Yarrowia lipolytica: one gene and its partners. The main gene of each other region encodes a partner of the protein of the gene in region 4 in a complex. Links are inferred from orthologs where the notes say so. Each region holds a gene or a part of one and is shown on either strand. Other genes may lie near its edges.

Region 1 (4,805 bases), on a different chromosome or scaffold from region 4:
GTACCTGCCCCATCTTGCACCCATGTCCGGATCGCCTCCCCCCATGTCTCTGACCTTTACCACAGGTCTCAAGAACCTCGGAAACACCTGCTATATCAACTGCATCATCCAGTGTCTTGCCACATCGCAGCTGACCAAGATCATTGTGAATCAGGCATACAAGCATCGAGTCAACATGAAGTCAAAGCTGGGATACAAGGGAGCTTTGATTGCCAAGTATGCTGATCTCGTGCAGGCTCTAGTGGCGAACGCTTACCCTTACTTGGTCCCCACTTCCTTCAAAGGAATCATTGCACATGTCAACTCTCAGTTCAGCGGCATGGAGCAGCATGACTGTCAGGAATTTTTGACTTTCATTCTTGATGGCCTGCATGAGGAGCTCAACTCTGTGGGCGATGGTCAATACAAGCCCCGTGAGCTGACCGAGAGCGAGGAGAAGCGACGAGAGGAGATGAGTGTTCGAATTGTGTCATCTCTGGAGTGGGAGCGGTACCTCAAGTCCGCGTCTTCGTTTATTGTCGACGAATTTCAGGGCCAGTACCAATCAAAGCTCCAGTGTACTGTGTGCAAAATGACGTCGACGACATACACTGCATTCTCGTCGCTAACTCTGCCCATCCCCAAGTACGCTGGGGCCACTCTCCCAACGCTGTACGACTGCTTCAACCAGTTTACGCAGCCGGAGTTGCTGGAGGGCGAAAACATGTGGCAGTGCCCTACGTGCAAGAAGCCGCGGCCCACTATCAAGTCTATGAAGATCTCGCGGCTTCCAGAAACTTTGATCATCCATCTCAAGCGGTTCGACCACTCACGGGGCTATGGAGACAAGCTCAACACGTTTGTTACGTACCCTCTGGAGATGGATCTCACGCGGTATTGGCCTCCGCCCACATCGGAGGACGAGCCCTTCTTGAAGAAGCTGCTTCCTCGTGGCCAGACGGCTCCTTTCCGGTACTCACTGTTTGGAGTGGCCAACCATTACGGAACGCTGCGCGGGGGTCATTACACGTCGTTCTGCAAGCGTGGCAAGCTCGGATGGTGCTACTTTGACGATACGGTGGTGAACAGAAACGTGAACGAGCGAGCCGTTGTTAACAAGAATGCGTATGTGTTGTTCTACCAGCGCCGGCACAATCCTTAGACTTCTCAGAGACACGGTAGGCGATATACAATGAGGGGACGAAAAGCATCTTGAAAAATATGCATATAGCTATTTATATAACGAATTATGATTGCATGATAACATGGCTTTGGTGGAGGGCAGGTGTGTACATCACACTGGTTGTTGTAAGTTTAGTTATGTACTTGATGGTTGATTACGCCTATGACTGTCTCACCTCTATAGTTCGGAGATACGGAGTCTTGGAAGTGATGTTTTCAACAAGGTCTGACTATTGATTGATTATTACGTGCCAGGTACTAAAAGAAAACGTGAGCAATTCTTGGCATTTTTCTATTAGTAATATTTTTCCATTAGTAATAATAAATATCAAGCGATCAACCAAAGTATTTTGGTCGTTTTGTTTCAGATAAGTGTTGATGTAGCACTGCAACAAGCTACAACCATGAGTGAACAGTATGTACTGGATGTAAGAGTATTAGTATGAGTACATTGTATATGGATGGTGGGGTGAAGAGGAGATTGTTTTATTAGCACAACCCTTAAGCGTACAGTATCCGCGTTCCCCGACTGGGGGCCGTAGCTATTACTATTTTTTTTTTTTGTTTTTTATTTTTTTTTTTATTTTTATTATTTTTATTATTATTTATATTATTTATTATTATTATTTTATTATTATTATTATTTTTTTTATTATTTTTTATTATTTTTTATTATTTTTTTATTATTTTTTATTATTTTTTATGCTTCTTTTTTTTTTCTCTTTTTCTGCTTCTTTTTCTGCTCTTTTTTACCCTTTTTCAGCTGTTTTTCTGCCCTTTTTTACTCTATTTGAACATCTCCGACATTTCGCGGCCTGGAAATAAAGTTGTCCAGGCTGGCTAGATGGAGATAGCAATTCGGAGGTGGGATGGGAGGTGAGCTGGAGCTCGGTGTTGAGATAAGAAAGTGTATAGAAGGGCGTGTTTGAGACGCAATTAGTAAGAGAGAGACCCAATTGAGCTATTTGGGGTGTACTGGTCGCATTGTCACATCCATCTGGCCATGTCAGCCTACAAAACAACGGTTTTTTGCAGGCTCGTCGAGGGTGGCTGACTAATAAACTCCCGCATACAGCGCTCTCGACAGTGCATGACATCCACCCTCCATCCACACCACTGAGCGAATATGAGCGAACAACCAATTGTGCTAGATCAAGGAACCGGCTTTGTGAAAATCGGCTACGGAGGCACCAACTTCCCCGAACACACCTTCCCGTCGATGGTGGGTCGGCCCATTCTGCGGGCTGAAGAGCGGGCCACAGACACATACGGCGACGTGGCCATCAAGGACATTATGTGTGGAGACGAGGCTGCCGCGGCACGAAACATGCTGCAGATCTCGTACCCGATGGAGAACGGAGTGATTCGAAACTGGGAAGACATGGGTCACCTGTGGAACCACTCGTTTTACGACAAGATGAAGATTGACACCCGGGGTCGAAAGGTGCTGCTCACAGAGCCTCCCATGAACCCCCTCAAGAACCGGGAAAAGATGTGCGAGATCATGTTTGAGCACTACGGCTTCAATGGCGTTTATGTAGCCATCCAGGCCGTCCTGGCTCTGTACGCACAGGGCCTGTCGTCAGGAGTGGTGGTGGACTCTGGAGACGGTGTTACCCACGTGGTGCCTGTCTACGAGTCTGTGGTGCTCAACCACCTGACCCGTCGTCTGGACGTCGCTGGTCGAGATGTCACCCGACAGCTGATTGCTCTGCTACTGCGACGAGGATACGCCTTCAACCGAACTGCCGACTTCGAGACCGTGCGACAGATCAAGGAGAAGTTCTGCTACGTCTCCTACGACCTGGACCTCGACACAAAGCTCGCCAACGAAACCACTGCTCTGGTCGACACCTACGAACTTCCTGACGGCCGAACCATCAAGCTGGGATCAGAGCGATTCGAGGCCCCCGAGTGTCTGTTCCAGCCCCATCTGGTCGACTCGGAACAGCCTGGAATCGCCGAGACGCTGTTCAACACTATCCAGGCCGCCGACATTGATGTGCGATCGTCGCTGTACAAAGCCATTGTGTTGTCTGGAGGTTCGTCCATGTATCCCGGTCTGCCATCCCGAATGGAGAAGGAGCTCAAGCAGCTGTGGCTCACCCGGGTGCTTAACGGCGACCCCACCCGACTCAACAACTTCAAGGTCAAAATTGAGGACCCCCCTCGACGACGACATATGGTCTTCCTGGGAGGTGCCGTGCTTGCTAACATTATGCATGACAAGGAGCACATGTGGATCTCCAAACAAGAGTGGGAGGAGCAGGGCCCCGCATGCCTGGCCAAGCTTGGTCCCAGATAAGCGGCAACTCCAGCTACAACCCTGCATTGACAGTATCAACCTAACACTGTCGATGAAGGAACTATGTATGTTATATGATGAAACGATTGACGAACTGTACTAGCTGTGTAGCAGCGAGTGCAGTGGATGTAGCAGCAGAGCTACAGAGCGCCCAACTTGCCGCGAGTCTTATTGTACGATTAGTGTAGGCTGTCAGATGGGCATTTGCAAGTATTAACTGTTATCTGTGGATATATTGTTGATTGTCAGTGCACTGTATGCCATGTCAAATTGCTAATTAATCATTTGTGCGTGATCAACTGACCCTTCACCTTCACAGATCACATCGTCACTTCTCTCGTCTTCATTCCAAATGGGATGCAGAGTTATGACGCTGCTTCCAACTATTCAGTGGACCGCAATACTCCACCACTCGTAGCTATTTCTCAGTTCCGCACTTGTCCATCCTTCTCTACTCAACTCATAAAATCGTATTATCTATTCATTAATCATTATATCGCCTTTGGCAAGGACTAGGCCCACTTTCCGATGAGGGACATACAAATCATGCCTCCAACCAGACCCGACATTGCGAAAAAGACTCGCTTTTTGGGTGCAAAAGAAAGATCTCCAAACAGCCAGTCGAACGCCAACATCTCCACAACTCCAGCCCAAATGAGCACGCCAGCAGACAGAGCCGAGATGGTTCCAATGGCCCAAATGGTGGCAGGGTCGTTGGAGTTCATGGAGTCCATGACACCGAGACCAATAGCCATGCCGATGGGAGTGATGATGGTGAAATAGGTGCACATGCTCATTTTGAAGAACAGAGACGAGTCACGAAGTCCGGCGATTCGAGACCCAAGGCCGATACCTTCGAACGCCTGGTGGAACAGAATGGCGATGAACAGAGAAATGAAGCCGTCATCGTCGGCAATTGTGACTGCAACGCCGACAAGAACAGAATGGAAAATGATGCCTCCCTCCATGATAATGACGGAGATCTTATCGTTAGGATCAATCAGAGTGGCGTTGTGAGCAGCACAGCCCATGTTGGCGGCTCCAGACATGTCGATCTGGGTTTCAATTACGTCCACGGCACCCTTGACCTGGTCCTTGTCGCAATCGTCCGATTCACTGGAGTGGTTGGGCTTCTTTCGCTCATGACGGGCTCGGAGCCATCTGGCAGAGCCGTATTCAAGCACAAAGGCAATGAAAGTACCAGCCAACGCAAGAGACATGGCAGTGGGATCGTAGCTAAGGTCTCCAAGACACTCGTTGGTGAAGTCCTCCTGACTCTCAGCTGCCAGATGCACATATGCGGTACTCAGAACCACTCCAGTTCCAAACTGCTTGACGA
Region 2 (5,415 bases), on a different chromosome or scaffold from region 4:
GTCGTACTGAATATCTTTCGAGAGCCGTCTATCTTGTCTGTATTGTCCTCTTGTGAAGTTGTTTGTATCGCCAAGAGCAGTCTTACAAATAGTCACTCTCTCGTTGTCCGTTGTCAGTCCGATGATGTAATGCTGATGCAGAGTCGATGTCGACTTGTGTCTGAGTCGGTGTTGGAAGATGGACAGTCGAAGGGGTTGTTGTATGCAAAAATTATGCTCCGGGTGGTTCGGTTTGTCCTCTGTCCTCAAACAGCCCCAGCGATGAGGCTCCAAGTGGTTGGTCTCAACATCTCACCCACCTGTGCACCATAGTGCATACCCACCTACTACCCAAGGTTAAACTCGGCAGATAATTTCCCTGTGTTCACATAGTCCAGAGCCCCTAGGTAAGAAAAAGGGGGAGCGCGTGTAAAAGTGATACAAGTGGAAATGTGCCAATTTTACAGCGAGTTCTACTGTTACAAAGGGTTGAAATTGATTACAATAACCCAGAATTTCCCCAAACGGTCCCCCTCTGTCATTCTATCTCCACATCGAACCCTCCTTGTCGATCCAAGTGGGCACTGCTTCATAAAAACCTTAGCGCTCCCAAAGTTGTGTCTGTGTGGCTACGCGTGGATCTGAAACATGAAACGCATATCTGTACGAGTCGTACAATACGAGTACTTGTACTTATGTTATGGCTGTTGGGTGACGTTTGGAGCCGTAAAAATCTGAGAGGTATTTTCCAGACATATATATATAGAAGACTTTCCTGGGTCTTCCGTTGTTTTTATGGCTCTCCAACCCTCGTATTTAGTGTTCTTCGCTGTACACCATCTGGTAATTAGGCGTATGTTTGGTGTCACACGTAACAAGTGTTTTAGTATATACGCCACACTAGTCGTGGTCGGAGAATGAATATTGAGACTAACAAACATGATAGGTGAATTTTTCAGTATGTCAGAGTCAGTTTGGCGAAATAAATTCCTGGTAGCTCCTGTATCAATGACTTTAGCGGTCTTCTATATCGTCGTCTCCTCTCGAGTGTTTTCAGTTGTCTCCACTACAAGTAGTTCCTATTTATAGCCGTGTGAATGTGTTGCATGCAAATTACAAGAGCGAGAGAACCAAAAAAAAATAAAAAAATGGTTCGTGAAACTGAGACAGTGAACTGACTGTTGTGAAAGACGATACACATAGGTGTTATTGGTCTTTTAGCCGTGGAAAAACACACTTGTACCTACAAGAGCCGGTACACGTGGATAGGAAAAGTTTGATGGTTATAAAGATGAACAGCAGTACAAGTACGAGAGTATACTGAAGGCCGACATGGAAAAGCTACAAGTACATTTGAGGTATGGCGGGAGCAGTCTTTCTCCTTCAATACATGAGGCAGAGACCCTTCAGAGTTAAACTAAGAAGCCAACTGGGATACGCCAATACTTGGGTCAATCGTTAAAGGGTGAAGCTGGTGGGATACAAGTACAGTATACAGTATGTACGAAAAGTGAGATAGAAGGTCCTTTCCATGCATATAAATGCGTTAGATATGACAAACCAACAAAACTGCATTTTATGTCATACTTATCGAGCTCTCTCAGAGTGATACATGATCCGCCTAACTAACTGTAGAAACAGTAACCTCCATCTTCTCAAAGGGAATACAGTACACACAGTAGTGCAAAAAGACGTGTGCCATTATTATATTCACAGCTGACAAATTGCTACCAACTTGTGTGTATGGTGTATACTTTTCATACCGTTGAAAGTGGTGTATCCGTCATACTGTGTCTTTTGAGACCAACAGTCGTCGACCACCACCCAATTAGACCACTTGGGTATTAGAAGAATAATAAACATTTAATAAGTGTCATTCCAACTAAACTTTTTCACACCAAAGTAATCCTAACCAAGTCCCGTGGTCTTGGTGCCATGATTCAATCAATGTTCCAATCACACTAGGAACCAATTCAAGAGAAAAAAATACATCTTCCTGATTCCAGTGCTCCCCCTGATGACTTTCCTATCAACGTATACCTATTTTCCATCCCGGTGCTCAACCTGTGCGTTTCTATCTTGCGTCTCTATCGTGGATTATTAAGCGGTGGATCACCCCAGAAGCAACCATGGGTCAATCATAGACCATGAAGTACACAAAAAAAGCAATAAATTGACGACAGATCTTCTGAATGTCAACTATCACTCCTCCCTAGTTCACTTGAAAGCAATCACATGATATTTCGGACATGTCACTGCACCATATCAGACTGCACTAAACACGCATTATCTCCGGTCCTCCCACTTCGCACCGCACACCCAAATTACAGGTGGCCACTACCGGGTAACTCTATATGCCGCAACACTGCTTGTCAGTTACAGCACATACATCCCGACACCAGCCCTTGAGCATCATCTGCTAACAAAAAATCAATTGAGCAACAATGGCGCATCTGGGAACCCCTGCGGTTGTCATGGGTGAGTATCGCGTGACTGGATGGACACGGCAGGATTTTCAAGGGGACTCTACTAACTTCAGACAAGTGAGTAATTCAGTGGTTTATCTCCATTGAGACATTTTGGAGAGGTGATGAGGGTTATGCTGTGGGATGATGGTGATGATGAACAGAATGAGAATGAGAGAAATGAGAAGGAACAAGAGAGTGCTGACAGACGATGATGGCTGTTGTGGAATGTCATAACCAACTATGGTTCTTCAATCGATCTTTGGACACAGGCCGCATGTCGATATTGATACATCGACATCTACATCGACGAAGACACAACGACATAACGATACAGTCAGAAACATACAGCAACGGAAGCGATCAGTGGCTACACTAAGATTATGTTATCATATCATCAGAGAAAACATAACCCGTCATATTTGTTTCAAGTCCTCTTTGTATCATCTACGCAAACCCGATACCCCACATTGATATGTGATTGTGTGGTGTGAAAGGCAACATCAACACCATAGCCTGTCATTCATCCCAGCCCACCCACGACCAAACATATACTAACTACAGCGGTACCGGTTACACAAAACTCGGTTTTGCCGGTAACGATGCCCCCTCTTTCGTCTTCCCTACAGTGATTGCCACCGCCAAAGGATCTTCCGGCGGCAACATCAGTCGTAAGGGTACCGAAGACCTCGACTTTTACATTGGCGACGAGGCCCTCGCCGCCGCCAACGGCCCTGCCTACTCGGTCAACTATCCCATTCGACACGGTCAGATTGAAAACTGGGATCACATGGAGCGGTTCTGGGAGAACTCGATTTTCAAATACTTGCGATGCGAGCCCGAAGATCATCATTTCCTGCTAACTGAGCCTCCTCTCAATCCCCCCGAGAACCGAGAAAACACCGCCGAGATCATGTTTGAGTCTTTCAACTGTGCCGGTCTCTACATTGCCGTACAGGCTGTCCTGGCTCTGGCCGCATCTTGGACTTCCAACAAGGTGACTGATCGATCTCTGACCGGAACCGTCATCGACTCCGGAGACGGTGTCACCCACGTGATCCCTGTCGCCGAGGGTTACGTTATCGGCTCGGCCATCAAGTCCATCCCCATTGCGGGCCGAGACATCACCTACTTCATTCAGAACATGCTTCGAGACCGAAACGAGCCCGACACGTCGCTCAAGACCGCAGAGCAGATCAAGGAGAACTACTGTTATGTGTGTCCGGACATTGTCAAGGAGTTCAACCGATTCGACAACGACCCTGACCGATTCCAAAAGTACATGGCCGACCAGGGTCTGCATCGACGAGCCACCGTGGATGTTGGATACGAGCGATTTTTGGCCCCTGAGATCTTCTTCAATCCCGAAATTGCCTCGTCCGACTTCCTGACCCCTCTGTCCGAGGTGGTCGACACCGTGGTCCAGTCCTCGCCCATTGATGTGCGACGAGGTCTCTACAAGAACATTGTTCTGTCTGGAGGATCAACCATGTTCAAGGATTTCGGCCGACGTCTGCAGCGAGACATTCGAACTCTTGCTGACGATCGACTTGCTGCTAACCAGCGGGCGACCGGAGTCAAGTCTTCGGGAGTCGATGTGAAGGTCATCTCACACTCCAAGCAGCGAAACGCTGTATGGTATGGAGGATCTCTGCTGTCTTCTACTCCCGAGTTCAAGAACTACTGCTACACCAAGCAGGATTACGACGAGATGGGACCTGGTATTGTGCGAAACTTTTCTCTGTTTTCCATGGTCTAGGGATTGTATGTAGTGTACATTTATGATATAACGATTGATCCAGCCCAGTGTCATGATACACGAGGTGAGTTGGTAGAAATGTTGGGTGTACTATAGAAGGCTATGTGTACACTATGTTGATAATTAATTATAAGAATACTGATGAAAGAATTCTCGTCTCAAGAGCCAATGACCCTACGTATTACGTAGTGTCCTGTGCCAAGAGTGCGTAATATCCGAGATAATAGTGCAGTTGACGTTGGTGCACAAGCCAATGGCAGCACGTTGTGGTTATTGTGGCTTTTCCTACTCCGTTGCTCCTGTCTGCTGTTATTGCTACTGCTACTGGTCGCTACTTGAAGCTACTGTCTGTGTGTAATTATATCTAATAAATGTATTCAGAAAATGCTAAAGAATAAATAGAGATCTACCAATCGATAGACCGTGAAAGTCAGAGAAGAATGTGGTTGTGAAAAGTCGTGATTGTAGAGTCGTAAAGTGTTTTGAAGTGGCCCTAGCGATCTGCTTAAGATCGCATGTAGTTGAGCAGACCCTGAATACCAGCGTCGAAGCCCTGGTCCCACTCCCAGATGGCACCGGAGTTACCCTTAGCAGCAATGTGCTGGGCTCGTCGGGCGTCCTGCCAGGCGTTGATTCGGCCAATGGTGGAGCCGTGGAACTCGTAGAAGGCGGCAGCGTCCTGCCATCCCGAAACGTATCCATCGGCGTATCGCCAGTGCTCGTAGTTACCCTGATGCTGGTCCCAGTAGGCAGAGTGCTCCTCGGTAGCCTTGGTGGCTGCCTCCTTGATGCCGGCCTTGGGATCCTTGTTGGAGCCTCCGTTGGAGAAGGTCGGGAGGGCGCCCTTCTGGGTCATGGGTTTGAAGCCCCAATCGCCTCCATCGCCGTACTGGAACTTGTAAGTCCAGAAGAACCATCCGGCTCGGGCATTCTGGTTGAAGGACTCAATTTGAACCTGGCCGTACTTGATGGCAAGCTGCTCTCGGTCCTCACCGCCGGCCTTAGCCCAGGTCTCCTCGGAGAAGACACAGGAGAACTCGCCGACAATAGAATCAGCCTGGGCCTTTCCAACATTGAGGTAGGCGGGAACGTTGGCAATGTTCTGCTGGGGAGAGTTGCCCTTGTCCTGCTCGGAGAAGGCCTTGTAGACGTGCGAGTCGACAACAAAACCAGTGTTCTGACCGGCAGAAAGCTTCTGGTTCTGCTCCTGGA
Region 3 (4,381 bases), on a different chromosome or scaffold from region 4:
ACTGGCTGAACTGCGAGTACGGGTTGGAGGGGGAGGTCGGAGAGGTGGCCGACTGGGTGTGTCGCATCTGGGGTCGCCGGGAAATGTGGTAAGGGTTAGCCTGGGTCTGGATCTGTGGCGGTTGTTGCTGTCGTGAGAACTGCTGGCCACCGTATTGCGGTGCTCCAGGAGTCATTCCCTGGCCCATACTTGTTGGGGGCATGTTTCCTCCCTGGACCTGGCCGCCCTGAGGGTGCTTCTGAGGCGAGTATTGCTGCTGATGCGGGGGTGGAACATGTTGCGGAGCATGTTGCGGAGGACCGTGCTGCAGCTGAGGAACATGATTCTGCGGGGGAGGACCGTGGTGCTGCTGGGGAGGCGCGTGGGGAACATGCTGGGGCACCTGCTGGGAAGCATGCTGAGGAGGAGCCTGCTGTCCCTGTCGTCCTACAGCGTAAGGATACTGGGTCTGGCCCGTGTGTCCCTGAGGCTGGCCTTGCGGGTACTGTCTCGGCGACTGCTGCTGGGCCTGTCCGGGCTGTGGCCGGTTGGTCGGGTAATGTCGCGGTGGCATGTGTTGCTGTGGCTGCTGGTGATGCTGGGGTGGGGGATTGGCATGATGCGAGGGCTGCATGGGGGGCTGTTTGGTCTGGCCCTGGGGAGGGGCTTGGCCTTGTTCATACCGCTCGTTGAGGTTTTGCATGGACCGCGAGGCGGGGATGCGCTTGGTTAGTATACGGGAGCAACAGGTGTGAGGGTCCGAAAGTCGAGGGCGGACAACGAGATGTAGCTAGTGGAGCAGAAGAATGGGCTGTGATAATTTGTATATGGCGATTCTTAGAGTCGATGTAGGTTTGATTTGCCCTAAGTGTGTCGTCATGTATGCTCTACACCACGTCGTGATGTGTCGTGCGATGCGTTGGTACGCCTTGGTTCCCCTCAAACCACGTCAAACAGTGTCGCTAAAATGTCGCCATAGGAACAGTACAGTCGTGAACATTCACCAAATGAAATTACTGCACATTCCACAGCAATCTCATCTGAATATATCCTTCACGTCACCCTTAAACCATCCGCTCATCTGTGTAACTGCGCGGTACGATAGGAACACCGCTTGTACTGTTGGGATATGAGCCATGTCGATGCTTCTAATTCTAGGTCTCTTCTTCTGCCTGTCTGTGTCTCGCTTGCCACTGGTTCTGTGTTCACATCAGTCTCCTTTCTGTCCATATCACCCATTGCCTGTGTCTATCAGGGTTTCTCCTCATGTCTCATCTACTCACCTGCATCGACGGAATATCGGTAAAAGGAATATCCAACACGTCCTGCGCCATTTGAGCTGCCCTGGGTCGAGTGTGACTAGTTGTGTGTCTCTTGGGGCGTTGTGTCGTGCAAACAACAACTGGTGTAGAGATTGGCGGGCTCTGAAAAAGTGTAGTACTGTACCCTAAGACGCACGAGGCTGTGTTTGTGTGGTGCCAACTTTAGGTTGCTTAGTCACCTGCGGTATTAGTGTGGGGGGAATAAATGGAGCGCTATGAGGGAGACGCATGCAACTTGACCCGGTCGGTACGGTCTATATTACTTGCTACAATGTGGTGAACCGGTGGTCTTTTTTCTCGTGAAAATCTGTCTTTTTTTTCGGCATTTATAGGACTGCCGAAAACGTCAGAAAATAGGGTTGGGGAAGACTGTACAAGAGCAGACCTTTGTATGAGTACTCGAGATACTTTTTTGGAGAGATGATGAAGAAGTCCAAACACCTCCAGTGTGTCATAATAGCCTGTGATGAACTATTTGCTGGCTTTTACTGTCACCTTTCTACCCAAAAGTACCCCTCTCTGACCCACCATTGTCGGTCATATTCACTATGTCCGTCGTATGCAGTCCATCACTTAACCTCATTTGTCCTTAATAAGCACAGGGGTACAGTAGTCCAAAAAGCAATAAACACGGAAGACTCAAGACCGTCAGCCGATGGTCCTGTAGCAGTTGAGCAAGGGAGTGGCTGGAAGCCGAAAATAGTGCCTTGTGTAGCCACAAGTAGATAACAATTCCTTTCAACTTCAAGCACGATAACCACTCAATTGTTAACTCAATAACTGTTCGCTCGCACTTGCCACACAGCTTGCTTGTACCTACGATAGGTGCAACTGTATTGTAGGCATGTGTCCTACAGAATGATCCTCGTCCCCTCCCCGATTATAGCCATTACGGTATTGACATTGAGACACTTACTACTGTAATACGAACATCGGCTACTTGTACTTGTACCAGGGTGTGATAATGAACTCTCTTAACTCCGGTTCCCCGCAAGTCAACCCGGCTGGCACTACAGTCGGTCACACCTTTATCTGACACAGTAGCTACGGTACAGTAAATCTGAAGTTCAATCAACTGAGGGAGTGATTTGAGAAAACAAACTCAAGTGCCATCCAAGTAAAATCCAAGTATGTTACTGAAGCAACCCGCACCCCCTTCCTCCGAATGTTCGCTTCGTAATCAGCGGAATTCATGGTCGAAACATTTCCAATTCACTCAATTGAATCGGCTTATGACATTCCATCAATCCACCTACCTCCGGTCACCAAAATCTCACCTCCCACCATTCCTTGCAATTTCACCTCTAACTGCGCCATTATTAGAGTTCACCAGCTATCTCCACCTCATCACACCCAAACCTGTCATTACCAACGCATCACCAACGTTAACACATCCAACCAGACACAAAAATGCCAGCTCTGAACAGTACATTTCTCGGCGAGGACCAGGACACCCGGGTAGTGGGCAATTTCGCTATCCTCCCCATCAAAACGTCATTCCGAGGCCCCAGTTACCCCAGCAACGCCGACTACGACATCATCGACGAGGTGCTGGATCTGTTCCGAGCAAACTCATTCTTTAAGAACTTTGAGATCAAGGGCCCTGCCGACCGGGCTCTCATTTACGGCATTCTCTTTGTGTCCGAGTGTCTGGGAAAGCTCAAGCCTACCACTTCTGCCAACGAGGCCAACAAGTTGCTGAACACTGCTGCTGTGGAACACTTTTCCATTCCCGGAGACGCCGGCTTCCCACTGAACTCTCTCTACGCCCCTCCCCGAGACCGAAATGAGGTCGAACTGCTGCGAGGCTACCTGATGCAATTCAGACAGGAGCTGGCAAAGCGTCTGATTGAGAAGATCTACAAGGACGACCCTTCCAAGCCCAACAAGTACTGGTTGGCTTTCACCAGAAGGCATTTTATGAACAAGAGTTTGTAAGCGAATGAATTACTAGGCACAGCCGGGTAATGTATGAGCGGTGAACAAACACAAGCAACTCCGGTGATGAATCTCCACCAAACAGCTGAAGGAAGAGGTGCATCAGAGCACAAACTAAAGCCCTGGATACACAATGTAACTAATGAATGATATGATAAGGTAACTTTGTAGGAGCTGGTCGTATGGATGAACTGTATGTATGTATAATAATGTATTGTCACTGTGTATCAGTATGTACATTGTACTCGTACTTTTTCGTACTTTTACGTACTCGTACTGTGTGCTTGTACTTGTATTGATCCAGTCTATACAGTCTATTTGTTTTATCTTTCTCACACTTTGAATATGACAAGTGGCGATAGACTACAACATACAGTAGGGATGTTGCCATAGGCACCCGTGCTAATTGCAAGTAGTCATTGTCAAGCGCCTACACTCAACTCAATTAAATCTTCATATAATACATATAAATAAACACGCTTTATCCATGCTATCCTTCCGTCCTTCGTGTCCTCCTCTCCCCTCTCTACTGCCAATAAGGTGGATAAGGTCCTGGGGGTGACTGCTGTCGTGGAGGATACATGCCTGGAGGAGCTCCGGGAGTGCCGGGAGCGCCGGGCGCGCCGGGAGCACCCGAAGGAGGACCCGCCATGGCATTGAGAGGCGGCAGGGTGATTCCTCCAGGACGTCCTCCACTCGGCTTTGAATCGCCATTGAGAATCGACGTGATCGACGACGTCTTCGAAGGCCGCTGCAGAATCGGCAAGGGCGGCAGTGTCTGCCGAGGCCCGTGGGGTGTGTGAGCGTTGATGGGCGGCAGAGAAAACCCAGTGGGAGAGCTCTGCTGTGGCGGAGGCGTGTGCGACAGCGGAGGCATGTAAGGTGAGTAGGTACTTCGTTGAAGATCTTGTCTCTGGAGGTCCTGCTGACGCTGTAGCTCCTGCTGTCGTTTAAGCTCCTGTTGACGCTGCAGCTCTTGGCGTTGGAACTCTTGCTGGCGCTGGAATTCCTGCTGTTGCTGCTGTTGCTGCAGCTGTCGCTGTCTCTCCTGCTCCTGCTGTCGCTGTCTGTGCTCCTGCTCCTGCTGCTGTCTCTGTCGCTCCAGCTGCTGGTCTTGCAACTGTCGCTGTCTCTCCACCTGT
Region 4 (5,962 bases):
TCCCTTTCTCCGCCTCCCCTCACGTCTCTATCTCTACCCACTCTTCCTCTCGGCCTGTCCCTCAATCTGGCGATGTACTTGTCGAACGCCGCTTCTCTCTGCACCGCACTGAGTCCCTTTGCTTCCGGCAGTCGGTCGGCCACTCTTCTTACCGCATCCCACGTGTCCGACACCTGGATGACCGGCTCCATGTCTCTCAGGGCGTACCGGAAGTCGTCCTGAAGTCGTCGCAGCTTTCGATCTGAAGCAAACCGGTCGATTTCGAAATCCGAGTCCTTGAGAGCATTGTAGACCTGCTGGGTGTACCGAGGATGTTCGAGATTGGTGGTGTAGTCCGAGCACGCTGCGATCAGGTGGCCAAATTCGTCGAGGGTCAGGCTGTCGATATTTTTGCCCTCGCTTGTCAGATATCCCTGGGCGATGGTCCTCAGGTTTCGGACCCGTCTGTTTTCGACCTCAATCACGTCCCAGAAGAGGTCCAGCGGTGTGGATGAGTGTCTGATTCCACACAGGTTCTGGAATCGCACATCGTCCTTGATGTAGTCCACCAGCTCCTTCCATTTGGTGGTGTAGACGATATGGCCCTTGTCGACCTGTTCGGAGAGCAGTTTGACAAACTGTTGGCGGGCTATTCTGGCCTGTCTGGCAGCGACGGCGGATTTCTGTTCAATCTGTTCCACCAACTCGGCTTCCTTCTCTTCGATTGTCTTTGAATAGACGTCCAGCAAGTCCATCTTGTTGAGCAGTCGCATTTCCGGCCTCTCGGCAGCAAGTTCCGCCGATCTCGACTTGATATCTCTCAGGGTATCGTTCCAGGTAGATTTGACAATGTCGATTTGCAGCACGGACTTGAGAAATTGTTTTCCGGCGGCCTTGATCTCGGCGGTTTTTTTCTGCTCCTGTTCGTTCAAAAAACGGACATATTTTGCGAGCGCCAGTTTACGGTCGTCCACGTGACCTGTGTGGAACAGTGGGTCGTCGCGGAACTCTTCTTCCACGCTGATCCAGCGAGAATACGGCCCAATCTTGTTGGACTGTTCAAACAAATCATAGACTCTCTGCTGGTACTCCAGGCGTTTATCCAACGTCTCCTGGACCTCCTTCTGCTCAATCTCGGTCAGAAACTCCTCAAACAGTTCCCGCCGTCTCAGAGCGTCTCGCACAGCCCAGTATCGGGGGTCTTCAAGACACTCTTTCATCAGCTTCTGAACCGTCCAGCTACTGTCGACCTCCTTGTCGGCCATCAGCTGTTTGTAAGACGCCTCAATCTCCTCGGAACTGCCTCCCTTGAACTGCTGCTGCACATTATCCGGCGCAATCGAGCTCAGAGACGGTAAATGTTCCTCTCGTTTTTCTCGACCACGCTGTTCTCGCACCTCTCGGGGTTCTTTGGGAATCGACTCATCGGCCGCCGCTTCTCCCTGAAGAATCGCTTCGGCATCTGCGGGAAACACCCACACACTTTCCTTGGACTCGGTGTTGAACCAGTATTTGCGGCCTCCCTCGGCGGTGTATTCCTTCCAGTTTGTGCGTTTGAGGGCGATTTCGCGCTCCGTGAAGAGCTCCTCGGGCTTGTCCCACGTCGAGTTTTGCGTTTCCGGGTCGAAGTAGTACGTTCGTCCGTCCTCCGCCTTGTGTTCTTGCCAGGTCATTTTGTGGTGATGGAGCTGGGTGATGTTGGATATTAGGAGGGTGAGTAGATAGAGTTGAACTTTAATGAGAAAACCAATTAGTTGATAAATGGAAAATGATAAAGAAAATTGTAAGTAGTTGGAGGAATGAAGAAGAAGAATTGAAAAATGGATAAAAAATTGTTTGGTTGAATTAAAATTGAATTAAAATTAAATTAAAAGGAAATTGAAAAATAATTGAATTAAAATCAAAATTCGTTTATATAAAGAAAAGAGAAAATAATCAAAATATGTCACGTGATAACATAAGTAGTCACTCTACCAATGTTCTCAACCAAAACTCCAGCATCTGGAAGGTTCTCTGTTTACCCATCTAAGTCAACTAAATTAAAAAAAATAAAAAAATTACGGATTAAATCCCCAACTAAATTATTCCATTGAAAACTAAAAATATATAGATTAAAAATGCTATTTATAAATATATATAGATATTTTTTTTTCAAAAAAACAAAACTGTGAGACGATAGATGGTATTAAGACCTCAAAAAAATTGACAAAAAAAAACAAATGTGTCATCATCTTGGTATGAAAGCCCATGAAGGGGGGAATCCATTAATTCTCTCCATTTCAATATATCTCAAATATCCATCAAGATATACCTCAATATACTCCTTTTTTTATCTAATTGAATTTTTAAAACGGATTTATTTCCTGTAATATTCCTTACTCACACCGACTCCGCTCCCAAATATTCCTCGAAAATGCCACCCCAAAATCCAGGGTTAGGGTTCCCAATCACCACCTAATAATACTCTGGAGATGCATACGGTACCTCTACATACGCACGACTAATAGCGCAACCGACCCGACCGAGATGGTGAGTATAGCGAAAGGGGGCGAAAAGGGCGATTTTCGATGCGCAAAATACGACAAAATGAGTGTTAGGGTCATTGATTGTTTAGGGTATGGAGCCGGGGGATTTGAGGGGATGGAGCCGGGGGATTTGAGGAGGGACCAGAGGCTCATGGGTTCTATGTCCTTTGCCGAGCTACGGGGGTTTTTGATGAGCGCATTTATGTCATTTTGTGGCGAGCGGATCTGTGTCTGTTGGGTCTCTGATGACGTGGCGAGTTCCGATTGACTGATGGCTCCAGATGAGTTGTTTTGATCCATCTTGTTGGTGAGATTGAGTGTGTTGTGCGCCATAATTCAGTGGGTCAATGAGTCGACTATAGTTAATGAGCCGGATGGGATGTGGTGGTTCAGTCATCGCTGTTGGTTCATTCTGATGATTGTCTAGTTCTGTCGACAGTGGAGTTCAAGTGGCCACTACGTTGAACATGTCTTTCACTACATATACCAGCAACATGTCCTTTTGCGGGCTCCAGTTGACTATGACGAGTTCTGGCTACTTCGAGTGACTCTACGGTGCTTCTGTGCTTAGAGTGTCTGTCTTGAGATATGACACTGCGACCGCCATTGCGACAACGACAACGACAACGACAGCTACGGCAATTACGACACAGAGCGCTTCCTGATGATACCCTGACTATGCCGTTGACGGTCACCTCCTCCCCCTCCCTCACTTTCCCCACCGACCACTTGCACCGATCTGCACTCTACCAGTGCGCGCGATACTCAGGTGTGTCCGCTAGCGTCGTTCTGATCGCTCTACTGTCACTTGCTCATAGTTGGCTGGCTCTGAGTCGTCAGAGATGATGACTCCTTCAATGACCCAGTGGTGACTGTTTCAATACCTCCTATGACTCCTCCGATGACTACTCCGATGACTCCTCCAGTCACCCTTAATGACGTCCGGTGACCCTAAAAGACTATGACTGCCACTGTTGAGTTCTACCCTGTTGACTTCTACCGTCGACATCTCTGAACTCGTCAGCGCCGGTGTCTGTCGATGTGTTCATCTGCCAAGTTGGCCCCTGTGGTGGACCTAGTCATCACCTTGCAGCTCTCCCGGCTCTCCGCCTCTCCCGGTGTAACATGATTGTTGGGATCCTACATCGAGTGTCATAGTTCGCATCTAAACTCCGTTGAAGACACCTTGAAACAGGTCACCTCACTCAGCGACTTTTTTTTTGAATCGCTCTACGCATCTATTGTGACATGCGCTAACCCAGTCCCAATCCCTCCGACCCTACCTTCTTGCCGTACGTACCTCTCTCACAGCAGCCCTCTGTCTGGAAGACTTTGGCTCGCAGGTGGCAGAGCGACACAATGTGCCCGAGGTGGAGTCCGGCAAGTCAGCTGAGGCGCTGCTCAACCCTATGACCATTGCGCGAAACGAAAACGAAATGGTGCTGATCGAGCCATCCATCAACTCGGTGCGAGTGTCGATTCGAATCAAGCAGGCGGACGAGATTGAACGGATTCTCGTGCACCAGTTCACGCGGTTCCTGACCGGCCGAGCCGAGTCTTTCTACATTCTGCGACGAAAACCCGTGCCTGGATACAGCATTTCGTTCCTCATCACAAACTTCCACACCGAGACCATGCTCAAGCACAAGCTGGTGGACTTTATCATTGAGTTTATGGAGGTGGTCGACAAGGAGATCAGTGAGATGAAGCTGGTGCTCAATGCCAGAGCGCGATTTATCGCAGAGAGTTATTTGGTTGCGGTGAGTACAGATCAACTAGTGAGCGTAGCGAGCTACTTGTAAATGACCAGATCATGAGCGCAACGAATGATCAAGAGTTCAAAACACGAGTGATATTTGATCATTGTGAGAACTCTGACAGTGGGACTATCATTTTCGAGTTACTCGTTGATGGTAGTCTGACAGTTTGAGTTTCAGCAATGTGGTTGGAGATGTATGATCTGAGTGTCTGAGGAGCAGGACTGTTCAGAACTGCTTACCACATCTTCACATTCCGCTATGCTCAATGACCTCACAATGACCTTCCCTTCTCTCTTTACTAACACAGTTCGACTAACCTGTACTCACCTGTACTGTAACTATATAGCGTAACGATGTTTAATGAAAAGTCCGAGCCGTACTTTTAATGGCCAGGTATCATGTCTCCGATATGGTTACAAGTACAAGTACTGCAATATCACTCATGGCCATTAAAAAGACAGATGAGAGTCATAATGGTGAAAAGAGCGCTCCATGCATTCTCTGCTTAATCAGAATAGTGCTTATTTTGCTTAGTCATTCTGCTTCTTCCTGAACACAATGGGACAACTCTTGTTTGGTTTAAAAAAGCACTCCCCCTTGAGATATTCACAAACATTTCCATTTTCAGATCCACCACAATATGCAGTAGTCATCTTTAGTCAGCACCATTAATTCCTGTAATACTCAGACTAGTCCGGACACGTCTTATCCACTCCGTTTCAACTGCGTTTCTGAGTCAATTATACGAGCAGATACAGTTTGGACTAGCTAAATATTAAAGTAATAATATTATATTTTTAAAGAGAGAATAATAAAAAAAAAATAAACAAATAAACAAAAAATAAACAAATAAATAAACAAATAAACAAATAAATAAATAAACAAATAAACACATATTTGCAAATAAAAACCACCAAAAATCTTAGTAATATTGTTCTCCGTTCTCTCGACGCACCGATTTCCTCAATCCCCCGATTACATAAGTCTGCCTCTGTCTTCAAGCCCCACGCCGCATTCTTATCTCCCACCAATCCCTCTGAATTTTAATTGTCGTTTGACAGAGGCCCGCTTAGTCAAACGTTAAATATTATATTTATTTGGTCGATGATTTGATAGTGACTAAGCCGGTAGCTAGCGCTCGCGCCCGGACAGCGAGGAACAACAAAAACGGAGGCATTACCACGTGACCTACTGATTCGGCAGTAATGTGGACACCCCGTCCCTTCTTCGGTCACGTGCATGCTCTCTAAACCACCTCCGATGACTCATCATCTCGTACTCTGATTAAGGTTTCATATCGTGGGGTATGCACGACCACTCTTGACATTTTCGGTGACATTTACAACGTCTGAGAAGAATTTTGAAGACGACACAAAAACGGCGAAAACGGGCGGAAAATAGCGAAAAAACGTCCCTACGAAGCGACACTAGACAACGTTGAATCCACGGAACCCTTCACAAACGATTTTATTGCAAAAATCGGTCTGGAAACGACACAAACAGAAACGGACATTTTTTCAGCGACACAAACAGACCTAGCCCGGCCGCAAGTAGGTGGATTTTGAACAAAAACACAAACTGAGAGAGCTCAGAAGTGCGACAGACAGATTGCGAGCAAAAACGCGACTCAGAACGGTGGAATCTCGACCCACACACCCGACGATTTCGCACGGCGCATTTTGGCCTCCAAACGACTCC

The links.
Region 1: YALI1_D03575g (region 4) and YALI1_F20712g share a complex: the UniProt entries of both Saccharomyces cerevisiae proteins name them as parts of the arp2/3 complex. The link is inferred for Yarrowia lipolytica from reciprocal best matches to the Saccharomyces cerevisiae genes ARC19 and ARP2.
Region 2: YALI1_D03575g (region 4) and YALI1_E40540g share a complex: the UniProt entries of both Saccharomyces cerevisiae proteins name them as parts of the arp2/3 complex. The link is inferred for Yarrowia lipolytica from reciprocal best matches to the Saccharomyces cerevisiae genes ARC19 and ARP3.
Region 3: YALI1_D03575g (region 4) and YALI1_B26451g share a complex: the UniProt entries of both Saccharomyces cerevisiae proteins name them as parts of the arp2/3 complex. The link is inferred for Yarrowia lipolytica from reciprocal best matches to the Saccharomyces cerevisiae genes ARC19 and ARC18.

What each region holds. Positions count from the first base shown.
Region 1 is NC_090775.1:2,068,954-2,073,758, forward strand, and holds YALI1_F20712g (uncharacterized protein), read left to right. Parts: upstream 1-2,287; coding exon 2,288-3,466; downstream 3,467-4,805. Other genes in the region: YALI1_F20669g (uncharacterized protein), read left to right, coding at 1-1,141; YALI1_F20742g (uncharacterized protein), read right to left, coding at 3,979-4,805. UniProt on the Saccharomyces cerevisiae protein: Functions as ATP-binding component of the Arp2/3 complex which is involved in regulation of actin polymerization and together with an activating nucleation-promoting factor (NPF) mediates the formation of branched actin networks.
Region 2 is NC_090774.1:4,051,571-4,056,985, reverse strand, and holds YALI1_E40540g (uncharacterized protein), read left to right. Parts: upstream 1-2,423; coding exon 2,424-2,457; intron 2,458-3,004; coding exon 3,005-4,203; downstream 4,204-5,415. Other genes in the region: YALI1_E40502g (uncharacterized protein), read right to left, coding at 4,709-5,415. UniProt on the Saccharomyces cerevisiae protein: Functions as ATP-binding component of the Arp2/3 complex which is involved in regulation of actin polymerization and together with an activating nucleation-promoting factor (NPF) mediates the formation of branched actin networks.
Region 3 is NC_090771.1:2,642,366-2,646,746, forward strand, and holds YALI1_B26451g (uncharacterized protein), read left to right. Parts: upstream 1-2,711; coding exon 2,712-3,239; downstream 3,240-4,381. Other genes in the region: YALI1_B26430g (uncharacterized protein), read right to left, coding at 1-703, 1,263-1,313; YALI1_B26517g (uncharacterized protein), read right to left, coding at 3,766-4,381. UniProt on the Saccharomyces cerevisiae protein: Functions as a component of the Arp2/3 complex which is involved in regulation of actin polymerization and together with an activating nucleation-promoting factor (NPF) mediates the formation of branched actin networks.
Region 4 is NC_090773.1:356,176-362,137, reverse strand, and holds YALI1_D03575g (uncharacterized protein), read left to right. Parts: upstream 1-2,505; coding exon 2,506-2,507; intron 2,508-3,765; coding exon 3,766-4,263; intron 4,264-4,570; coding exon 4,571-4,580; downstream 4,581-5,962. Other genes in the region: YALI1_D03604g (uncharacterized protein), read right to left, coding at 1-1,652. UniProt on the Saccharomyces cerevisiae protein: Functions as actin-binding component of the Arp2/3 complex which is involved in regulation of actin polymerization and together with an activating nucleation-promoting factor (NPF) mediates the formation of branched actin networks.